Linked DNA regions of Alligator mississippiensis. Each later gene encodes a partner of the first gene's protein in a complex. Links are inferred from orthologs where the notes say so. Each region holds a gene or a part of one and is shown in the gene's direction. Other genes may lie near its edges. The genes, in order: OS9, FAM8A1 and HERPUD1.

Evidence for each region.
Region 2: OS9 (region 1) and FAM8A1 share a complex: the UniProt entries of both Homo sapiens proteins name them as parts of the HRD1 complex. The link is inferred for Alligator mississippiensis from reciprocal best matches to the Homo sapiens genes OS9 and FAM8A1.
Region 3: OS9 (region 1) and HERPUD1 share a complex: the UniProt entries of both Homo sapiens proteins name them as parts of the HRD1 complex. The link is inferred for Alligator mississippiensis from reciprocal best matches to the Homo sapiens genes OS9 and HERPUD1.

Annotation. Positions count from the first base shown.
Region 1 is NC_081838.1:7,432,733-7,439,562, forward strand, and holds the start of OS9 (protein OS-9), read left to right. Parts: upstream 1-2,059; 5' UTR 2,060-2,096; coding exon 2,097-2,240; intron 2,241-3,563; coding exon 3,564-3,740; intron 3,741-3,952; coding exon 3,953-4,016; intron 4,017-4,297; coding exon 4,298-4,374; intron 4,375-4,635; coding exon 4,636-4,734; intron 4,735-5,146; coding exon 5,147-5,348; intron 5,349-5,442; coding exon 5,443-5,565; intron 5,566-5,853; coding exon 5,854-5,939; intron 5,940-6,183; coding exon 6,184-6,226; intron 6,227-6,381; coding exon 6,382-6,470; intron 6,471-6,830. UniProt on the Homo sapiens protein: Lectin component of the HRD1 complex, which functions in endoplasmic reticulum (ER) quality control and ER-associated degradation (ERAD).
Region 2 is NC_081826.1:130,845,710-130,852,539, forward strand, and holds the start of FAM8A1 (protein FAM8A1), read left to right. Parts: upstream 1-2,304; 5' UTR 2,305-2,319; coding exon 2,320-2,713; intron 2,714-6,830. UniProt on the Homo sapiens protein: Plays a role in the assembly of the HRD1 complex, a complex involved in the ubiquitin-proteasome-dependent process of ER-associated degradation (ERAD).
Region 3 is NC_081833.1:36,701,878-36,708,707, forward strand, and holds the start of HERPUD1 (homocysteine-responsive endoplasmic reticulum-resident ubiquitin-like domain member 1 protein), read left to right. Parts: upstream 1-2,582; 5' UTR 2,583-2,610; coding exon 2,611-2,742; intron 2,743-2,950; exon of another isoform or gene 2,951-3,186; coding exon of another isoform or gene 3,187-3,240; intron 3,241-3,356; coding exon 3,357-3,434; intron 3,435-3,522; coding exon 3,523-3,597; intron 3,598-5,392; coding exon 5,393-5,499; intron 5,500-6,216; coding exon 6,217-6,315; intron 6,316-6,830. UniProt on the Homo sapiens protein: Component of the endoplasmic reticulum quality control (ERQC) system also called ER-associated degradation (ERAD) involved in ubiquitin-dependent degradation of misfolded endoplasmic reticulum proteins.

The DNA of each region.
Region 1 (6,830 bases):
GGTATTATTAGGTGCATTGCCCCCAGCCAGGGGTGCAGCGCCAGGCCCTGCACAGACAATATCCCCTGGGCGGGTGCTGAGCTGGGAGTGGGACCAGGTGTCCCGAGGGTCTGCGTGGCCCCTCTCTGTAGCTGGAGGTGGGGGGAGATATTGTCAGGACCCCCAAGTAGGGGCTCGTGTCAGCTCCCAGCTGGGGAGGACACAGCGGGATGCAGGGATGTGTAATGCAGCTGTCCCAAGTGGGGAAACTGAGGCATGCAGCAGGATGGGTGCCTGGAGGAGCAGGGCAGGGCAAGGCCCAGGGCTGAGACCTCCTAGGCTCCTTGCCAGGGATGGGGCTGATTCCCCTGCCCCGGGGGCCTCCCCTGCTCGCTCCCCTCCATCCACTCCCAGAGGCCCTGATCCACCGCAGTCTCATAACTAGCTGGGATTGAGCCCGGGTGTTTAAGCCGGGCAGGGTGCCAGGCGGGGCTTGGCAGGCCGCGGGCAGGCAAGAGCCGCAGGGGAGCCCGGGCCTGGATGCAGATGTTCTCCCCAGATAACAATCCCCCTCGTTGTGTCCGTGCCGAGTGGCCCTGGGGCTGGGCACAAAGGGGTTCATTGTGCTCCCGGGGGTGGGTGGCTGCTCCCTGGGCTGGGCCCAGGCTGTGCGGCGGGTGTCTCTGGAGTGGAGAACACCCGGCTTTAACCCTCCATGTATCCTCCTAGCATTGAACCGGGGGCCAGGCTTTGCTAATGCGGCTAGCTCTGGGGTGGACCAGCGGGAAGGAATTTCCCTTCCTATTGCTGAATGAAGGAGAAAGGGGAGCTCCCCTGGGCCTGGCCCGTGAGCCTTGGGGTACCCAGCTCAGCCACAGCTTTGGTGCCCAGCTGGTGCCCACAAATCTGGGGCCTGGGAAGCAGCAGGTGAGGGCATCACCCGGGCCCTGACCCTAACCGCATCTTCTATTCATTACATAGAAAAAAGCTTTTAATTTGCTGCTCCTAATGGATGGCTCTGACAGGAGCAGGGTTAGCTCCAGTTACCAGGCCGGCAGTGCGGAGCTGCTACATCCCTGAAGCCGGGTGGCCAGGCCAGGAGTGAGCACGTGGCCTCGGGCACTCTGGGATCCGCAGTGACCCCATGCCCAGGGCAAGGGGGTGGCGCTGGGTGTGGGTGGGGGGTTCCCCCCACGACCCGGAGGCCGATCCCAGGTGAGATGGGCCCTGGCCGGCCTTCGCCCTTCCTCTGGGTACAGCGGGCTGGGGCCATGGTGAGGTGTGCTCAGCAGGCCGTGTTTCCTCCCTGGTCTGGCTGCTTCTTTTTTTGGCATGCGAGCAAGCATGCAGTTGTGGAGGAAGTAACCAGCTGCCTCGCCTGGCCTCTGCCCAGCCTGTCCCAGGGTTGCTGCCCCCAGCGCCACCACCCCGGAGCAGGATCCCACCTCTGGGTCAGGTCAGAGGGCATTGGGGGGCCCAGAGACCCCCTCCCCATCTCAGCTGGTGGGCCACCCGCCCTAGGCTGGATTCAGGCCTGCCATCACCCCCCTACCCCAGGGCTGCTGCCCTAGCACCACTGCCCCGGAGCAGGATCCCACCCCTGAGTCAGGTCAGAGGGCATTGGGGGACCCAGAGACCCCCTCTCCATCTCAGCTGGTGGCCCCCCAGCCCCAGCCCCAGGCTGAATGCAAGCCGGCCATCGCCCTCTGCCCCAGGGCCCCGCCCACGTGCCTCGTCCCAGCCCTTGAGCACGGTGACAGCTCCTTTGGGTCATGTGATCTCGTTCAACCAATCCCCTCCTTCCCGCGGCCGCAGAGCGGCCGCCAGGGACTCGGCTCCCTGATGCCGCTGGCCCTTTAAAAGCGCTCAGAATCACGCCACTAGCTCCTCCTTGCCGCTGCGAGGGTAGACGCGGACCAATCCCAGCCTCCCGGGTGACAGTCCCTGTCCGGCCTCACGCGCTCTTAGCTGGCGGCCAATGAAAAAGCGGCAGCGGTGATTGGCAGGGAGAGAGACCCAATCGCACGGCGCTCCGCGGCGGCGCGGGAGAGGCGGCGCGAGGCCCTGCGGGGACGGGCGGAAGCAGCGGCGGCGGCGGGTAGGAGGGAGGGAGCAAGATGGCGGCGCGGTGGGTGCTGCTCCCGGCGTTGGCCTTGGCGCTGCTGGGCCCGGGCCGCGCCGGGGCCGCGCTCAACCTGCAGGAGCTCAGCGACCTCAAGTACGGCATCGAGATCGCGGCCGAGCCCGTGCTGGCCGGGCAGGTGGGACCAAGGGGCCGGGCTAGGGTTGTGGGGGAGGTGGGCGCCCCCCCCGGGACACGCCCCCCCCCCCCGTGTCAGACTGCCCGAGGGCCCCCCCCCCCGCTGTGCTCGGCGCTGGTGAGGCCGCAGCGGGAGGGCAGCGTCCAATTCTGGGCGCCGCGCTTCAACGTGGGCAAACCGGAGCGGGTGCAGAGAAGAGCCACCCGCCTGGTCGGGGACGCGCCAGGAGAGGCTGAGGGACCCGGGCGTCTGTAGCCCGAAGAAGAGACGGCCGAGGGGACCTGATAGCGGCTTGCCGCTCTCCGGGAGGAGGAGTGCGTGGGGAGCTGGGTGAACAGCTGTGCGCTAGGGCAGCGCGGGGAAGGGCAGGACCACTGGATACAAATTCCCGGCAGACCGCTTCAGGCTTAATTCCAGGGAAAACTTCACGGTCAGGGAGTCCCGACTGAGGAATAAGCTTCCTCCAGAGGTGATGCAGTCGCCTACCCTGGAGGCTTTCAAGAGGAGACTGGACCTGGTTGCGGTCTATCTAACTTCAGTCGTCTTCCTGCCTAGAGCGGGGGGGGGGGGGCTGGACCCGATGACCTGCTAGGTCCCTTCCAGCCCCTACCGTCTATGAAACCCTGGCACTCCCTGAGGGGGCTTCATCCTGACCTGGTCCCAGCACCTCCCATCACCCCGTCTCCCCTGTGCCCTGGGGTGGGGGCACCCATCACTAGCTGCTTCCCGAGCCCACCCTAGGTCTCACTAACCCCCCCACCTCGTGCCTCTGTTTCCCCACGTGCCGTGCCCCCTGTCCCTTACCTCCTGTTTGGCTGTGGCAGGGCAGGGCGCAAACCCCCAGCTGGGCTGGGCACCAACAGCGACTGTTGCTGGCGGCTCTGGCTGCCTGGGTCCGGATGGGGAAGCGCAGGGTAGAGAAGGTGAACTGTGCCTGGGTTTGGAGATAACGGTATCTTGCTGGCCCCTGCTTCCTCCTTCCTAAAGTCATCTGATCGCGGTGCTCTGTAGGCAAATCTTTCTAGAAAGCAGAAGCAAGACTTTTGAGGTTGCCGCGTCAGGTTTGGTGGCCGGCCTGTGCTCTGCCCCTGGAGCTTCACCCCAGAAGTGGCTGCACTTCTGGGCCGGGTTGTACAAGAGGGATGGGGGCAGCAGCATGGGAAGCCAGGGTTGCTGCATGAGGCTACGAGCAAACTGCTGATGAGGGTCATGGGTCAGATGGGCCAGGGAGGAGCCAATGGTGCCCTTTGCCCTGGTCCTGGTGCCGGTGGCTGGACACAGAGCCCAGGAGAACCCTGATGGCCCTGTATCCCACTCCCCCAGAGCCGGGCCGAGGACGTGGTGACCATCTCCTCCAAGTACAAGCAGAAGTACGAATGCCGCCTGCCGCCGGCTGCCATCAAGATCCACCGGGAGCCTGAAGATGACCCCCGGGGTTACAGCGGGCTGGGCATCATGGAGCTGCTGCGGCCCATGGGTGCTGCGCCCTGTCTCCGTAAGGTAAGGCACCTGCCTGCACCGGAGGCTGGACGTGGGATGGGAGGTGCCCACCACAAAGCCTGCTGGGGAGCGGGTGGGGGTCGCCCCCCCCCCCCTTTGCGCCCACTGGTTCGAGGCTCAGGCAGGCCGTGGCAGGCTCAGAGAGGGGGGTGGGTGATGTGTGACTGGAGGGGGCCCGGAGTCACACGTGTTACCCACCTTCCCTCCCCCAGACCAAGGACTGGTGGACATATGAGTTCTGCTACGGGAGGCACATCCAGCAGTACCACATTGAAGGTACCACGGGCCGGCCACACTCCTGCTAGGGTTATGTTGCCGGCCCAGCAACATGTATGTGCATACATGCGTGTGTCCCTGCCCTGTGTGGCCAGTTTCCACCCCTACACGCACTTTATTTAATGTTCCCCTTCCCTTGCCCAGATGGGATGAGGGATCCCCGAGTGTCATAACAGAGCTGAGCCTGGCTTGCCAATACCCGTGTCCCTGCATGCACGTGCATGCTGGTGCTGCACGCACGCAGGTGTGCGGGCTGTAACTGTTTGCCCTTGGCTCTGTAGAGTCGGAGATCAAGGGGGATGTCCTGTACCTGGGCTACTATCAATCTGCCTTTGACTGGGACAATGAGACTGCCAAGGTGCGGGGCATAGGGGGTTATGGGGGGGTGGGCTTCTGTGGGATGAGGGGAAGGCATCAGCAGGGGCTGGGCTCTTTGGGGCAAAGTGGGGGCTGGGGTCTCCTGTGGGCTTGGGGGGACTGGACAGGCTGGCTCGTGAGTGGCGGCAGGGCCTGGCTTTCTGGCAGCAGAACCTATGTACTTTCTATGGTTCTTCCGTGACCTGTGTGCCTCAGTTTCTCCACCTGAAGCAGGAAGTGACTTGTGGTTTCCCACCCCCAGGCCTCGAAGCAGCACCGTCTCAAGCGCTATCATAGCCAGACCTACGTCAACGGCTCCAAGTGTGACCTCAATGGTCGCGCCAGAGAGGCTGAGGTCCGGGTAAGGTGGGGAACAGCTGTGGGGGGTAGGGTCTGGCTTTTCACTGCCTGGCTGGTTGGCAGCGTCCTCCCCCAGTGCTGCTTTCCTGGCCTCTGGGGTGGGCATAGGGGTGGTGATTGGGTGGGGGGTGCTAATTAGCTGCCAGGAGTCATTACACCCTGCGAGGTGGGGGTATCTGGCTAGAAAAGGGCTCAGGGAGGCTCTGGCTGGGAAGGGGCTTGTGGGGGGCCTCTGGCTGGAGGGGAGGGGAGGGGTGGGCCAGGGAGCTCTGGGCAGGGGTTATCATTGGGGGTGAGGGGCTCTGGCTAGAGGAGGCATTGGGGGGGGGGGGGGGGCTGGGTGCTTTGTTGGGGGGGGTCCTGGGGGGTAGGGGGATCTGGCCACACTAATGTCCCCTGCACCTCCCCCCCAGTTCCTGTGCGAGGAGGGCTCGGGTGACTACATCGCGCGGGTGGATGAGCCACAGTCGTGCTCCTATGTGCTGACAGTGCACACGACCCGCATCTGCCACCACCCCTTCCTACGCCCACCCGCAGCTGCCACACCCCAGCCCATCCGCTGCCAGCCTGCGCTAAGCCCTGCCCAGTACCTCCAGTATGTCCAGGCCCAAGTCTGTGAGTATCCGGACTGGGGGAGGGGGGCAATACGGATGGCAGGGCCTGGTTGCCCCCCCACCCATGTGTGATCTCTGCCCTCGGCCTCCCTCAGCTGACACTAAGCGCAAGGTGGAGGAGATCTCGGAGGAGCTACGGACGCTGGACACACGGCTCTGGAGTGAGCAGGACCCCAGCCCGGCCAAGCCCCCACCCAGGGAAGACCCTTCCCTCGATGGTACGGCAGTCGGACTCCTGGGTTCCTCAGCTGTGTGGGATGGGGAAGAGCCTTGGCTTGTGTAGGCCACTTGGAGAGCATCCTTGGGTTGCAAATGGGGCGCTGCCCCTTTAAGGACACCCACACCCACCTGGAGGCACTCACTATGGTGGGGGGGCGGGGCAGGTTCTCTCCCTGAGTGGGGGTGGGAGGCTTGGCTGGAGGTGCCAGGTAGGGATGGGGCTGCAGCTGCGGGCACGGCCCCCCTACTCCCAGCGCCACGCTCAGCACTGCTCTGTCTGGTTCCAGGTGAGCCCTCTGCTCCCAGCCCGGCAGAGAATGCTGGCCCCCGAGACCCCCCACCCACAGCAGATGACCCGTTGGACCCCACCAAGGTACATGGGCCATGGGTGCTGTGCCTTGCCCATCCTCTGGGTGCCCTTGACTCCTGTCCTGGCTCCTGCTTCCTTCCTGGCAGGGCCAGCAGGGGGCACTGTGTGTCTGTGTCCAGCCAGGTATGGGGGGGGCAAAGCCCTGGCTGGGCAGCATGGGGTTAAGCAGCCTTGGCTGCAAAGGTGTTGGTGGCATGTGACCCCAGCCGTGCCCCCACCATGTTGTGTTGTTTTGGCTCCCACACAGGAGGAGGAACCCACAGTAAAGGCGCCTGATGGCCCCCTGGCAGGTGAGTGCCTCCGCGTAGGTGTGGGGGGCACGGGGCAAGGGCTTGTGCCATGGCCTCATCCAGCTGGAGGATTTGGGGGCATTGGGGTCCCTGGCACCAGCTCTACCCTGATGTGCCCCTTCCTCCCCCACCCCTGGGGCTTTGGCCCCTTGCAGATTTCCACCGGAAAATCCATTTCAAGGTGATTCGGAGCCCGGGGGACCTGGTGCAGCTCATCGAAGAGCTGAAAGCAAGTGCCCGGAAGGTGGGCATGGACTGGGAGGGGCTGGCATGGGGCTGGGCATGCTGGGGGGAGGAGCTGCAAACCAACCGTGCGGCCCCCTGCCCTCTGGTGACTAAACTGCACTGGTGAGGGGTTGTGCCCATGCTAATTGGCGCTGCTGCCAGGTGTCCAGCTAAGTCCTGGGGCTAATGCCCCTTGGGTGCCCCCCATCCCTTAAGAACTGATTCTAGCTCAGCTTCAGGGCCTACCCCAGCCCCGTGCCTCAGTTTCCCTACAGGAATGTTCACACCCTGAGACGCAGTTTGAGCACCCGCAGCTCCAAGGCTATGGGACCAAGCCCTGCCTAGGGGGTTTAGGTTCTTGCCGGCTCTTTGTTCCAGC
Region 2 (6,830 bases), on another chromosome or scaffold:
TGACCTGACTTGATGACATTTCCACCAACTTCACAGTCTCATGGGGCCTTGGGGTTTACTGGGACCTCATCTTGCAGTTTTTACTCAGCAAAACACCCCTTACATCACAGTTTAAGAAAGGCCTGGACAACTGGCTGGTCCCTTTTCCTACTCCTTTTTTTAGTTGCTTTTAAAGCCAGGCAAGAGGATCACCAAGCCATGCTCAGCCTAGGTGGCCCCCGCAGAAAGTCTGTTTCCATTTCCTTGGTCTGCAGGAACCAGGACCGGAGCTTTCCAGGCCTGTTTAAAAAAAAACAGGACAGCCAAGTGTGTGCACCAGGCGAGGAGAACACCTTAAGCGACAGGGGTCACAGCTCCAAATGATGGAGGTTGTCGTAGAAAATCCTCCTCCTCTTTCCTCCACGTTTTCACAACCTCAGCCTCGCCCCTGAGCATGTAGCCTATTTCCATCACTTGACACACAGGCGTACTGCTTACATGAGATCCTTCCTCACCTCACTTCAGGATTCATTTCCCTGTTTAAATCAGGCTCAGGGTGCTTGAGTTTTTCATGCAAACTTGTGAGACTTCATGGCACTTTTGGTTCCTCATAGTGATTGCCTGACAGCAGCTGGAGAAGGACAACAAAGCCAGTCCAGAGGAGGATTTGTCCTAGAGATCACTCAGCTGAGGGGGAGCAGGTAAGGCTTGGGTAAATGGACAAACCACCCTGAACCTCACATCCTTGTGGAGGTGGCAAGGAAGCGAGGGTCTCTTCTGATTTCAGGCCCAGGTCCTGCAGGTCAGAAACAGGTAAAGACTAATTCTGCATCCACAGAAGACCTGCCTTGAGAGTAACCTTTCCTACCAGCTCCGCATGTAGCAGGAAGGAGCTGGGCATGGTCCAGAGGCAACACTCTGAATTGGACAGGATAAGAAATGTTTGTGTTTTAACCCTGTGTGTGTTTCGTATCTCTGATTCAGACCAGTTTTTCCTCAACTGTGAACCTGAAGCCACCAAATGGTTCCTGATGCAGGGTCTCCTTCAGAGCCAGGATGGATAAGGCATGGTGCACAGCCAGTGTCGATAGGAACACTGGATGTCATTAGAGTAAATGTAGCGTGAGATATATTGGTAATGCAGAGCTGGGGAATAGATCCTTTCCTGGGCATTGACAAGGATAAAGAGACCCCATAGGTAGGAGAAAGGCAGAGAACAGCAGAGAGGATCCAAACGTCAACCTCAAAGGAGCAGGAGTTCAATCTGGTTTGGAGTGAAGGGCCAACATGGGCAAGTCAGGGAGTGACAAGTCTCCTGTGACTGGGGAAGCACCGAGGGAAAAGGGCAGGAAGAAGAAGAAGTGCAAATTCTTGGAAGGGAAGGGGCTGTCTAAAGGGCTATGGTCAAACCACCCTAGTGATGTGATCCTGTAGTCCCTTTTCACCTAGCAGACCTCACCCACCGGCTACAGCTCCTTGGAAGCAGCGGAGGCTCCAGAGAAGAGCGTCAGGACCCCTCAGTGCCTGAGCCTCAAGTGGATCACAGCACACCCGGAGGGTCTGTGAGCATCTGCCCAGCAGCGCTCCATCCCCCAGGGCAAGTGAGTGGCCTTCAGCGTGCCCCTGCCAGCTTCACATATTTGCAAATTTGGCTGGAGAATCAAAACCTCCATGTAGTGACGCAGCCACTGGGGCTCTCCAAGGCCACCTGCAGGGTGTTTGGAAAGATCCCCAAGGGTGGACTCCCAACCCCTCCTCAGGCAGGAAGCCTGTGGGTAATGAAGCCATTACCACTGAGCATGGCCTTGTGGTACAACAGGATTACTCCAAGTATGGCACTGCGGGATTACCCCTTGGCCTGCTACGGTATTACCCGCCAGGGGAGACATGCAAATCAAACTCTGGGCAGACGAGCGCCACCTGAGGCAGCATGGGTTGCAAGCTGCCGCCCGCCCCTCCCCCGCCCATATTTGGTAACCCCGGGCCGGTTGCCATGACAGCAGCCCTGAAGCAAGGGCGTCACCGTGCCACGAACCGAGCTGCGCCACACCGATCGTCCTGGCAACGGAAGCCCCGCCCCCCGCGGCCTAGCTCCTCCCCGCCACTGCTTGTGCTCCATCCAGCCTCGGGCTGGCGTGACAGGACGATACCGTATCCGTGGGGGCGGGGGGCGATATCCTCTCGCGCTGGAGCGGTGTTGCCTCCCCCCGCACCTCCTCACTCAGTTGGTCGCTCCTGCTCTTACCCCCTCCCACCTGGCAGGTGGGTGAAGCGGAGCGAGGTTGTCGGCCTGCGCATGCGCAGTGGAGGAGGGGCGTGTGGAGGGAGCGGACGGGGGCCATGGCGGAGCCGGAGCCCGCGGCCATGGCCGCGGCAGGGGCTGAGGTGGAGGAGGAAGGGGGCGCGGGGAGCAGCCCGGGCACAGGCCCGCCGCCGCCCCCGAGCGCGGCGGAGTACGCGCGGCGCGTGCACCAGTGGCTGTGGGACTCGTACTGCGGCTACGTGAGCTGGCACAGCGGCCTGCCCGCCCTCATGGCCGCCGCCGCTGCCGCCGCGGGCACCGCGCCCTGCAGCGCGGGCCCCGCCGCAGCCGCCGCTGCCGCCGCCGCCTACTACAGCCCCTTCTACGTGCTGCCAGCGCCTGGCCCGGCCCGCCTCACCCCGCTGCCCCGGCCCGGCCCCGCCGCCCCGCCCCGCGCCAGCAGCGCCCCGCGCGATAGCGCCCGCCCGGCAGGTGAGCCGCGCCTCGGGTGGACGGGACCGCCCCTGCGCACTTCTGTCAGCCCCCAGCCTAGTAGATCACAATGAGGGGGCCCTTGGAGCAGGCCCCAGGGGGCAGAGCGCACCCCAGGAAGCTGAGCGGCCCAGAGCAGGGATTGTCTGCTCTGCCCCACGCTGCCCTGAGGTCCTTGCGGGGGTGCCGTGCGCTGTTAGCGCCATGCACGTGAGTCACAAGACGGACCTGGAGATTTCTGCCAGGCGTCCCTGGTGTCAGCACCATTTTGCTGCGCAGCACCGGAACGGCTCTAGTGCTTTTCTGTAGTCAAAAAATGGTGAGTTGGCATTTTTGAGGGGGCCCTGAATCTTTGCAGGGCTCCTTTGGGTCTTGAACAGGCAACACCCGCCGTTCTAGAGTGACCCCCATGCTGCAGATCAGTAATTTCTCTTTGGACCTGCATGGCAGGTCAAGGGGACAAAACCAGCGAAAATGAGTGAAATCTAATTGCTTCCAGATTTTACTTTTTCCCCCCAGTTGTGAGCTCTGAACAGATATGCGCTTGGTTTAAAAGGAATAAGGGAAGTCGTACTCTGAAGTTTAGATCACTTAAGAACAAATGCTGTTAATTGTCCCAGAATGTGGTATGAACAAGGTTTAGTAAAATCACTCTTGGACAGTCATGCACATCTTCAGATAATAGTAGATCAAGCCACTATGCCAAGGACACTAGGGAATTGACTGCCTGCTAATACGTTTCAGTGGAATGGGAATGTTTCTTTGCTCACCGAGGATAGCGATGGAAAACAGCTTTCCTGATGAGAGAAGAGCATTTCCACTGCAGTGTAGGCAGCTCTCCTCAAAGGAGAGTGTGTAGCACAATTAATTGTACAGTCCGGATGGGTGAATGTAGGAAATCAATAGCTTTGTGCAGTAGCTGTTTGGCATGGGATACAAGAAGATTGCACCCTGTAGTCAGCATAACTTTGGCTATCCAGCATGGACTCAGTTTTGCCAGCAAAGTGTTATCAGAACCCTTGGGTGTCAAATACACAGCCTGTAGGCTGGATCTGCCTGTGGAGCTATCATCTGACCCCTGGTGCTGCCTATGGGGCTTGGAGTGACCGACAGGCAGCGTGCAGAGCACACTGGGTGGCCTGTTCCAGCTCATATCCTGGAGCAGGTGCTGCGGGCAGCGCAGCACTGTGGGGTTCTGGGGCCACGTTGCATGCAGTCCCGTACCTGCTCAGCTCCAGGGCCATGCTGCACAGCTCCGGAGTTGCTGGAGCAGAGCCATGCTACACACAGGACCCACTCCAGATCCAGAATGCGGGGCTGGTCTGTGGGTTCTGCCTGGCCTGTGGACTGGCCCCATGGGGCCAGATTAGTGTCTACACCGGGTGTGTAAAACTCGAGTTAAGGCAGTAGCAGTCCCATGATAGAGTCTGCGCCATAGATGAATGAATCTTAGTGGTTTTAGAATTGGGCACAAGTTCTTTGGAGGCACTTGTCCACAACTTTTTTGAATGTGGAGGCATCCCCAGTTGAGAACCACTGAACTATTGCAATCTGTTTTGTATGGACAGTGCTTAGAAGAGGCATAGAGGGACCATGAAAAAACCTTCCTGCGTTGAAAGGGGGAGGTGGACATTGAAGAGTTAAAAGACACGCTGTGCAGTCTTTTATTTTTCTGAAAGCCACTATAGTGATCTTTGACCAATTAAAAAAAATCCTTATTAAATCTGAATTAATGTGTCTCTAAGCAATGCCTGTTTAGACGGTGAGCTAATTGTATCTGTTTAGAGTTTATGCAGTTATTTTAATGTTTCAGTGACAGATGGAGATTCATACAGAAGTCAGTTATGCTGCATGGCTCCTCCAGACTGAAAGTTGCTACCTCAGCAGTAAGAATACTCTGTGTACAGGCAGTCAGGGAAAGCCGCAGCACCTGCATTAGGGCTCTCTGATCAGCCTGAAGCATACAGGATAGCTGGCTTGTGCTACAGCGTGTCCTGGTGCAACTCTGCATGGCATCTCCTGGAAACAGAGGCATTTTGGGCAAGTGGAAGTGTCCTGCCTGTCTTTGTTTCTGGGAGGAGCATGCAGGGGGTAGACTGGGAAGGGCTGTAGCACAAACCAGCTCTCCTTCCCACTTTAGGCTGATCAGAGAGCCCCCCAATGCAGGCAGGATTGCTTGCAGGTGCTGCAGGTACTTGGAACACTGTCATGGCACCCCTTAGGGGGCCTTGGGCCACCTGAGTTGAGAACTACTGCCATAGACTAAGTTGAGACACTGATAAGTCTCAGGTGAATTCTCCCTGTCTCTTTGGGATGCATATCTTCCTCCTTATTTAGTTGTAAGTCTCTGTAGCATCAAATTTGAGTGTAATTTTATTGTGACTGTAGTCACAATAATACTTTAGTTTGTTTCGTACTGAATAAATAGCCTCACTTTGGAACTTTATGATTTGTAACTAGTGGCTATGCACAGCCAAGCTGGGATCAGAATACTTAGCTGGGTTGTTCCGGTTCTCTTCACCATTAGATAAACGATCTGTGATGGGAATTTTATTGACAGCTTTCCCATAAATGGGAATTGAATCCATTTTGATATTCTGCATTGCTATTGAAAATTTTAAGTGAGCTAGCAGAAAGATGCAAAGAAGGGGATATGTTAATAAGAAGGTGCCCTTATCCATTCACTCTCCTGTCACAAACTAGCCTTTTTAAAAGAAAGAGCAGACAAAAAAAGACTGAGCACCTTAGGCTTCAAGGAACTCCTTCAGCGCAGCACATATTTACAGCAGCGTTTGTGCAGCTTCAGTAGAAGCCTTGTGCAGCTTTCTTTCTGTAAATGAGGTTACCGTGGTGAAATGTTTTTGGGGGGTGGGGTGGTAGGTAAAGGATAGTAAATGCCATCCTTGGCTCCTTCAGAACAGATGGACACTCATGCATAAAACCATTGCAAGCATTGGATTGATAAAATATCTTGTCAGGTGTGTGTGTGTGTGTGTGTGTGTCCTTAAATAGAATTCAATTAGGAGGATGCTCATTAGTTTCAGGCAAGTTATTCTGTATATGCTACTGGCAAAATGCATACCTTCTAGGATTTTTCTAAGGGTGCACCAACAGAGATTTTTTGGGCTGATACCAATGACTGATTTTTAAGGAGCTGTATTAGCTGATACGATCCAATTGCTAATATGCGGCCTGGCAGCTTGGAGAGAAGCATCCAGCTGGTAAGTCTGTTGTTGGGGGGGGGGCAGATCGAGGCCCCCATGGTGAGGGAAGGAGTGGGGCTGGGGCTGGGGCTGTCCAGCTGGGGAGGAGGACATGATGAAGCCACAAGCAGCTTGTCTAGGGGGTGTGGAGAAGGGGGACGGCTCCCGCCACTGTGTGCACCCCAGGAGGGCATGGGGGGGCGTCCCTGGATCTATGCAGGGGGCAAGGGCAGGCTGCTGCTGTGGGCTGGGGCCAGGGTGGCACCAGGCTTTTCCCAGCAGGGGGTTGGGGTGGGCTGTGCTTTGGGGTAGGCAGTGGCAGTGCTGAGCAGGGCTATGGGGTGAGGGCTGCAGCCACCCCAGAATTTGCTGTAGTCCCTCTCTGTGCTGCCACCCGCCCCAAGAACAGCCTGGCCCAGGCCCCTCACTGGGAAGAGCCCAACCCCAGCCCGTTCGCCTCCGCACACAGAGCCAGCGGAACACGCCCCCATGCACCCCTTCCCCACAGCAGACTTACCAGCTGGATGCTGCCGGGCTGTGCTCCTTGCTGGCTGCATGCTGCTGCAGCTGTGCGTATGCACAGGAGCATTTATTGGTGGCATTGGCCACATCGGTCAGAAAAAGCCAATTGCTGATACTGTCAATTTTCCTTATATTGGTGCTGATCCAATATGGGACCGCTGTATTGGTGCACCTCTAGATTGTTCTCTCTAGCATTTTTTTTGGAGGGGGGGGAGGGGAACTGTTCAAAATAATTTTTTTTAAATCCTTATGTTTGTTAGTAACACTATCAAAATTTATTTAAAAGCAGTTTAACAGTTATTTTATCTTTCTTTATTGAATTCCCACCATTCTAAACTGAAGGGGTAATGAGCTTTACCTCTAATCAAAGTATCCAGATTTAAAAAAAAAAA
Region 3 (6,830 bases), on another chromosome or scaffold:
AGTAGCTTATCAGAAAGAAAAAAATAAGAATCAAATATGACAATACTACAAATGATACATGCAATGGATAAGTGTGAGACATCAGCTGTCAACTTATTTGTGCCTCAGGGAAACAGGAAATGGCTGCCAGAGAAAACTGAGCACCTAATGAAATGGGGAAAAGATAAATAATACACATGAGGAAATAAGCTTTGTCCCTGCTGATACATTGCTTTATTTGTTTTAAACCATACTAGAGATCTGGTCTGATAGACATTAATCAGCATTGTACCACTGACTACCATGGTGTTAGATCAGACTGCATGAGAAAACTGAATGAGAATAAGGAATAAGAGAGACTCCCTGCTTAGTAGCTTCAGAACAAGGAGGCTGTCCTGGTTTTTTTTAGAAATGAATGCTCTTCACCTCAAAAATAAGAAAGGAGTTAAGTAACTGTGACTGTGGTTATATCCAGGGCCTGTTAGAGGAGAGCCATTAGCAACTGAACCTCTGTTTCCAGGGGACCTCAAGGCAGTCCTGGGTTCTAAACTTAATGCTAATTAATTGTTGCACTCCCAGTTTTAATTCCTAGTGCTGTGGAAAATCAGAAGAGAATTCCCTTTCTGACCAACCTCTGAAGAAGCAAATAGCTACACAGCATAGGTGATCCCTGTCATTGAGGCCAATAGCATTGCCTTCATGAACTAGCCTGTTCAAAACAAAAGCAGCTTCTAATACACATGTGGATCAGTTGAGAAAACCTAACAGAATACAGGTGATCAGGTCTTAAGCACTTCTATTGATATCTGTGGGAGCTGCCCAACAGCCAAAAGTGCTCAGATACAATGAAAACACAAGCACCTAGAGAGATGGGTAGGTAGCTGGCTATTTAATTTGTGCATAAGAGTCCTATAACTATGTTCCCTTGAGAATGGTCTATAACTGCTTTGAGCCATTCTATTGTGTTCTGATGCTTTCTATACTGAATTGCCTGGTTCCAGGATAAAAATATAAAGGATGGAACTCAGGAACATGGATAATTTACATCTGATTAATATGGATATGCTCCTGCATGAGAAAACTGAACAAGGATAAGGAATAAGAATGACTCTGTGCTCAGTAGATTCACACCAAGGATGCTTTCTTGATTTTTTTATTGGTAGGAATGCCTCCTGCCAGTATGATCCATTCTTTGCTTTCTTTATCATTGACAGTATGTTCTTTTCTGTTTGTAAACTTGGGTAAAATTTTCAACAGCCCTGCAGTTATATTTTTAAGAGAAGAAAGAGCCTAAATTTCACTGAAAGACATTGAGAATTAAGCACTTAAGTGCCTACAGCATTTTTGAAAGTGTAACTCAGGCTACAGACACTTCTGAAAATGTGATTTATTCTGTTTAAAGTTACAGATGAATAAAAAGAAATATGAACTGACAACTGATTGTTTGCTTGCTATGAAGGGCTGCTGTATTGCTACACAGGGCTCCAGTAAAAGCTCAAGATTTCTACTCCATAGCAATTGGGATACTTCTTTTTCTAAAAGGAATATCTTGCATTTACTACAGGTCCACGGAAGCTGAATAATTAGTATTTAGTGTTAAAGGCTAACTCAAGACTTATAACATTCTGTTATCACCAAACACTGTCTGTAAGAACAGATATAAAAATTAACTGTGCCTTAAACAGGAAACAGTTCTGAAATGGAATATCACCTGTTGTCTTTGATTTAACAATATAAGAGTTTCAATACAATTTCAGAAAGTGTTTCCATATTCCTAATATAAGAAAGCTTATTAATGGGTGGGGGGGGTGTCTCACACTGATGTACAGATCCGATCTGATCTGTTCTTTGGAGGGGCGATTTTTCTCAACTTGTAATATATCCAACCTGGAAGCAGTCAGAGCCTTGTTCAGCTATTTTTCAGGGTCAGAGCATATTGGAGACAGCTAATCTTTGCCTCTGAATTTTCAGGATTCCCTTTGCAACTATTTATTCGTTTTCCCATTGTCTCTTGTCTTAGCCTACCATCTTTGAACAAGGGTGGTCTCTTTATGTTCACACAATACGTATTCCAACGGGACACATATCGTGGTGCTACGGCCATACTCAATTAGATCATTAGTAGAGAAATAATTTACTTAGAACCCAATTCTTTTCTCCCAGCTATTTGACTTCTAATTGTATTACTATAGTCTTATAATTCAGTGTCACAGAGCCAGGGGCTGAGCGATCAGGCCCTTTTGTGCTTAGACCCACTGCTCCAAAGCATTTCCCTCTCAGCTGCCGGGGGCTGCGAAGCAGGAAACCCCACACTTTGCAGCCGCCCGATCCCGTGCCTGCTCCTGAGGAAACAAGCTAGGAGCGGCACGGCGCTGCCCCAGCCCGGGACACCCCGCACAGCACCCCCCGCTCCCGCCCCGCCACCTCCTGCCTCCTGACACGGGTCAGCCCCGCCCCTGTCACTCTGTAGCCGGATGTCGCTTCTGATAGGCCATCTAGTGACACGCTCTCTTTCCGCGGCCAATCAGTGGCAGCCACCGCGTCCCGGCTGGCGCAGGGGGCGGGGCGCGAGGCGGCGAGGAGATAAAAGGCGGCGCCACGGGGAGCGCGGGCGCGAGGCGGAGAGCGGCCATGGAGGAACCTGCGTCGTTGCTGGTGCGGAGCCCCGCGGGGCGGCACCCGGACCTGAGCCTGCGCGCCGAGCCCGCCGGCACCGTGCGGCAGCTCAAGGCCCGGCTGCGCCGCCTGCTTCCCGAGGCGCCGGTGAGGGAGGGAGGGGCCGGGGCCGGGGCCGGGGCCGGGCGGCCCCGGTTACTTGAAGTGCTGCAGCGGGTTTTCCTGGGGTTTGTGGAGGTTTGAGCCGGGCGTGGCGGGGCGCCGGCTCGTCCGTGTGGCCGAGGGGTGTCGGTGCTCAGCAGGGGAGGACTTTGGGCGTTGAAGCCTGTGCGTCCGTGCTGGGCTTCTGGGAAAGGGGCGGGCAGAAGACAAGGTGCGAATCCCTTTGCTGCGGCTGGGAAAGCTGCGGGCACACGGGATCCCTCTGCTCCTCAGACGGAAGAGAAAGTCCTCCTGTCAGGTTTCTGGCCCACCCGATGGACGGACAACTCATTCCTGTTTTGTAGGAGTTGCTATGTTTCTGTGCGAGTTTCTGAATCTCTGACATCAATTTTGCACATAAATAATCAGCGGGTTTGGTTGCATCATCCCATGCTAAAAACAAAAGAGAATTGTGTTCAAAGGATTTGGATGTATTTATGCTGGGTGTGTTTTTTGTTGTTTCTTTTTTGGTATGCCAGCTGCTGTCATGCCTGGCTGCTCAGCATTTGCATGCATTTGAGAGAATAGTAACCCAACATATTTTTTGTCTTCTTTCAAAGCCTGAAGAGGACCAGAAGTTGATTTATTTGGGGAAGTTGCTGCCTGATCATCTTTATCTGAGAGATGTATTGCCTATGGTATGGCAATTGCTTGCTTCTGATAGTTGCACAAATTAAATGACATAGGAATATGTTATCGTTTTAATGCCTTGATTTCTGTTTTTAGCAGGAGAAGTTGTGTGTTCTTCACCTGGTGTACAACTCTAAGAGCCATTTAGAAGTGCAAGAAACCAGTTCAATGGTATGTTAAATTAATACATCAGTCTACTTTTGCTTTTCTGGGTGTGGACACACTCTGCAAATTTGGGATTTATGACTTCAAAGCAGAATTATTTCTGAAAAAAGGTTGACCCACGTCATGTAAATGCAGGGGCAGCATTGCTTCATAGGGTAGCTGTTATGCTAGTACTAGGGGTGAGACAACAGCTACATATTTGGAGTAAGCATTTGTAATGGCTTGTTTTGGAGCTGAAACATCTTGAACCAGGTTACGGCCATTGCATGTTGTGTCCAGCCTGGTTAGTGGTCTGTCTTGACCTGGTGGTCAGGGTAATACTTGACCTACTGACGAGGAAAGACATTTAGTACCGTACAACTGTTGTAGTTCCTCTTTCCCTGGTTGAGCCAGTGAGCTTGGTCATGAGGGCTGTGCTGTTTGCAAAGGGAGCGGTTGTCTTGAATGTGTATGTTTTCCATGATAATCAAGTCTCATTCGTATAAAGAAAGAGAATCTGTCAACAATTAAATGGGGTGGCATCTTTTAGGCTCTTCCTGGATTGTTGCCCAAATATTCATCAGTAATAAAACTTAAAAAGCCTCTGGAGGAAGAAACTGGAAATAAACCAAACTTAATACACTTTTTTTTTTTTTAAGTGTGCTTAAACTATGACACAGATCTCAGTTTCTGTATGAGGGTTTGCTGGTGTGATTAACACTAGCGATTTATAATCTCAAAGGCAAAAAAATTACATCCTTGAAGTCATGAGCAAACAATAGACTGTTTTTGTTTTTGTGTCATCTGTGGCAGAAAACAACTGAAAAAGATGTGGCTTTGTATTTGATAAACATGTATTGTCCTAGCACTTCAAGGCAACTTGCATCGCCATCACCCCATGCTGGTAGCCTCTGTCTAGTATTTGAGACAGCATTTATCAAATGGCAAATTGATACACACTTTAAAAAATTGAACCTTTTAAAATTAAGACAAGCAATTATTTTTTGTTTTTAAATGTGATCGGGGAAGGCTTTGTAAAAACTGATCTTGTGATCTTTCTGCTTTTACTTACAGTTAGCATTCGTTGGCTAAATCTGTTCATCATATGCTTTAGAGGCTGTTACACTTTACATGTAGTGACCTAAACTATAGTATTATAAAGCCTTCATACTGCTGTGGCTCTGCCTGTACTAGACAGGTTATTGCTTTAATTATGCTAGTATATGTAACCACTAGCATATTGCTTTAACCAGTATAGTTAAAGCAGTAAAACTTCCAAATATATACAAGCACAAAGATTTTATACCATAATGTAACTTTGCAACATCTACTGAGAGGAGCTGTAGTTCTTCATCGCTTCCTGTTGGAACAGGACTTAAAACATGTCATGTGTTTAAAAAAAAAAATAAAAAGTTTGGTTTCCCAGAATGGTGGAACTGCTGCTATTATGAGTGCTTTTTACTCCGTTTTCTGCACTATGGCCTTAAGCTCCTACATATTTAAAGAGTTCACTTTCTCAAAACAAATGACACTATTGCCATTGTTCCATATGCAGGCCACCTCTCAAGGTGTTTTAGGAACAAAACAATTCTAGAAATATTGTTTGTTTTGATTGTGGTTCATAATTGATATGGCAGTAGCTTCCAAAGGCCCTGTTCAGGACTGGCGCTCTCTGCAAGGCACATGCGCGCACAGTTCCAGTGAAATATTTTGGGGAATGTGTTATTTTAAGATAAAATATCTGATTCAAAGGTAAGATAATTTTCATTCATTGTCTTGAGCCAACCACTACTAACTGTTGCTTTACATTGAAACTAAACAGCCAAAAGCATTGTCAGAAATTGGTCAAGATCCTTCTGTAGCTTCAACTGATGGGGCAAGACACAGGGATGCTCCCTGCAACCAACCTACAGTGGAAACCAATACAAGGTAAATGTGCTTCATATGAAGACATGCCTTCTAAAATGCTGAGATATAAAGTTATACGTCTGTTTCTGAACAGACTCTTGGATGTCAGCACCTTAAGCTACTGCTTTGGAACTTTTAAGTGGGTGGGTGCCAAAGAGGTTAAAACATTGTTCCCTCTTGAGTTGGATGTTACTGTCCTTTCTTGTTAGATATGGAAAAATAGAAATGCTTTTTATAATGTTTTCACAGAAGCATAAACCTGGTATCCACTGCACTCCAGTACTTGACTGAGCCTCTGAAGTTTAGATTGAGCGCTTGCTTTTTTCTTCTAGTCCTTACATATTCCCATTTCATTTAAAAAGAGCTTGAGTGGGAAAAATAGCTTAATATCTAATAATGTCATCAAAAAGGTGGTACTTTTCCTTTTTAGAAGTCTCTTTCCCCCCCCCCCCCACTTTCTCCTTTTAATTTCGCAATAGTACAGTTTAGGGCTGAAATTTTAGATTTCTGCCTTCAGCTTTTTAATGTTAAGTACAGTCTTTTAAGCCCAGATTAATTTAAAACATATTGGAAGTGTGTGCCATATGCTGCTTTACCTATCAGCAAGACAATGGCAAAAGCAGCTTGCATGTATCTTCAGTATTGTAAGTAGAAGTGGTGGGAAAGACAGTCCTGGGTTGTTTGTTTGGTGTTTTGTTTTGTTTTTTAACTAATTTTTTATTAAACTTTTTGAATAAGGATTGAAACAGCTCGTGGCTTCTCTGCCTATACTACTTACAGCATGCTTCAGATTTCTTGGTTTCAGCAGATTTATGCAAGACAGTACTACATGCAATAGTAAGTTTTCTTTCCTTTTGCAGAACTAGCTTTGAAATATTAAAAACTGGTTAGAATAGTAATTTTCAGCCACAGGGCTGGGGCACTCTGGTATGTCTGTCTTTTCAAGAGTGCTGCAGTTAAGTGTACAAACATGTTTCACATGATATACCCACAGACTTCAAATAAAAATCCTTCATGTCAAACACGTTTTGCCCTGTAGTGATCTTTCTTAGTTTTGTGTAATGTGGGAATTGTTCTGTTGGCAAAAAACAAGTGAAAATGTAAGCTGGCACTTCTGAGAGGGGTCTTTAAATCTAAAGGTTGAGAACCAGTTGGTTAGAAAGATACTAGTGCTGTTTCTCCCCCAGTTGACAGGCATCTTCCTTATCTGTGGCAAATCAAATGTCTGATGTAGCTATAAACACCAGATGCCATTTGGTTTAGTCATGCTTATTGCTTTTTGTCTAAATAAAAGTTAAAATTTGCAACCATTTATAGTGGTGTTGAGCCTATTGGAGGGGTACATCTAAAGA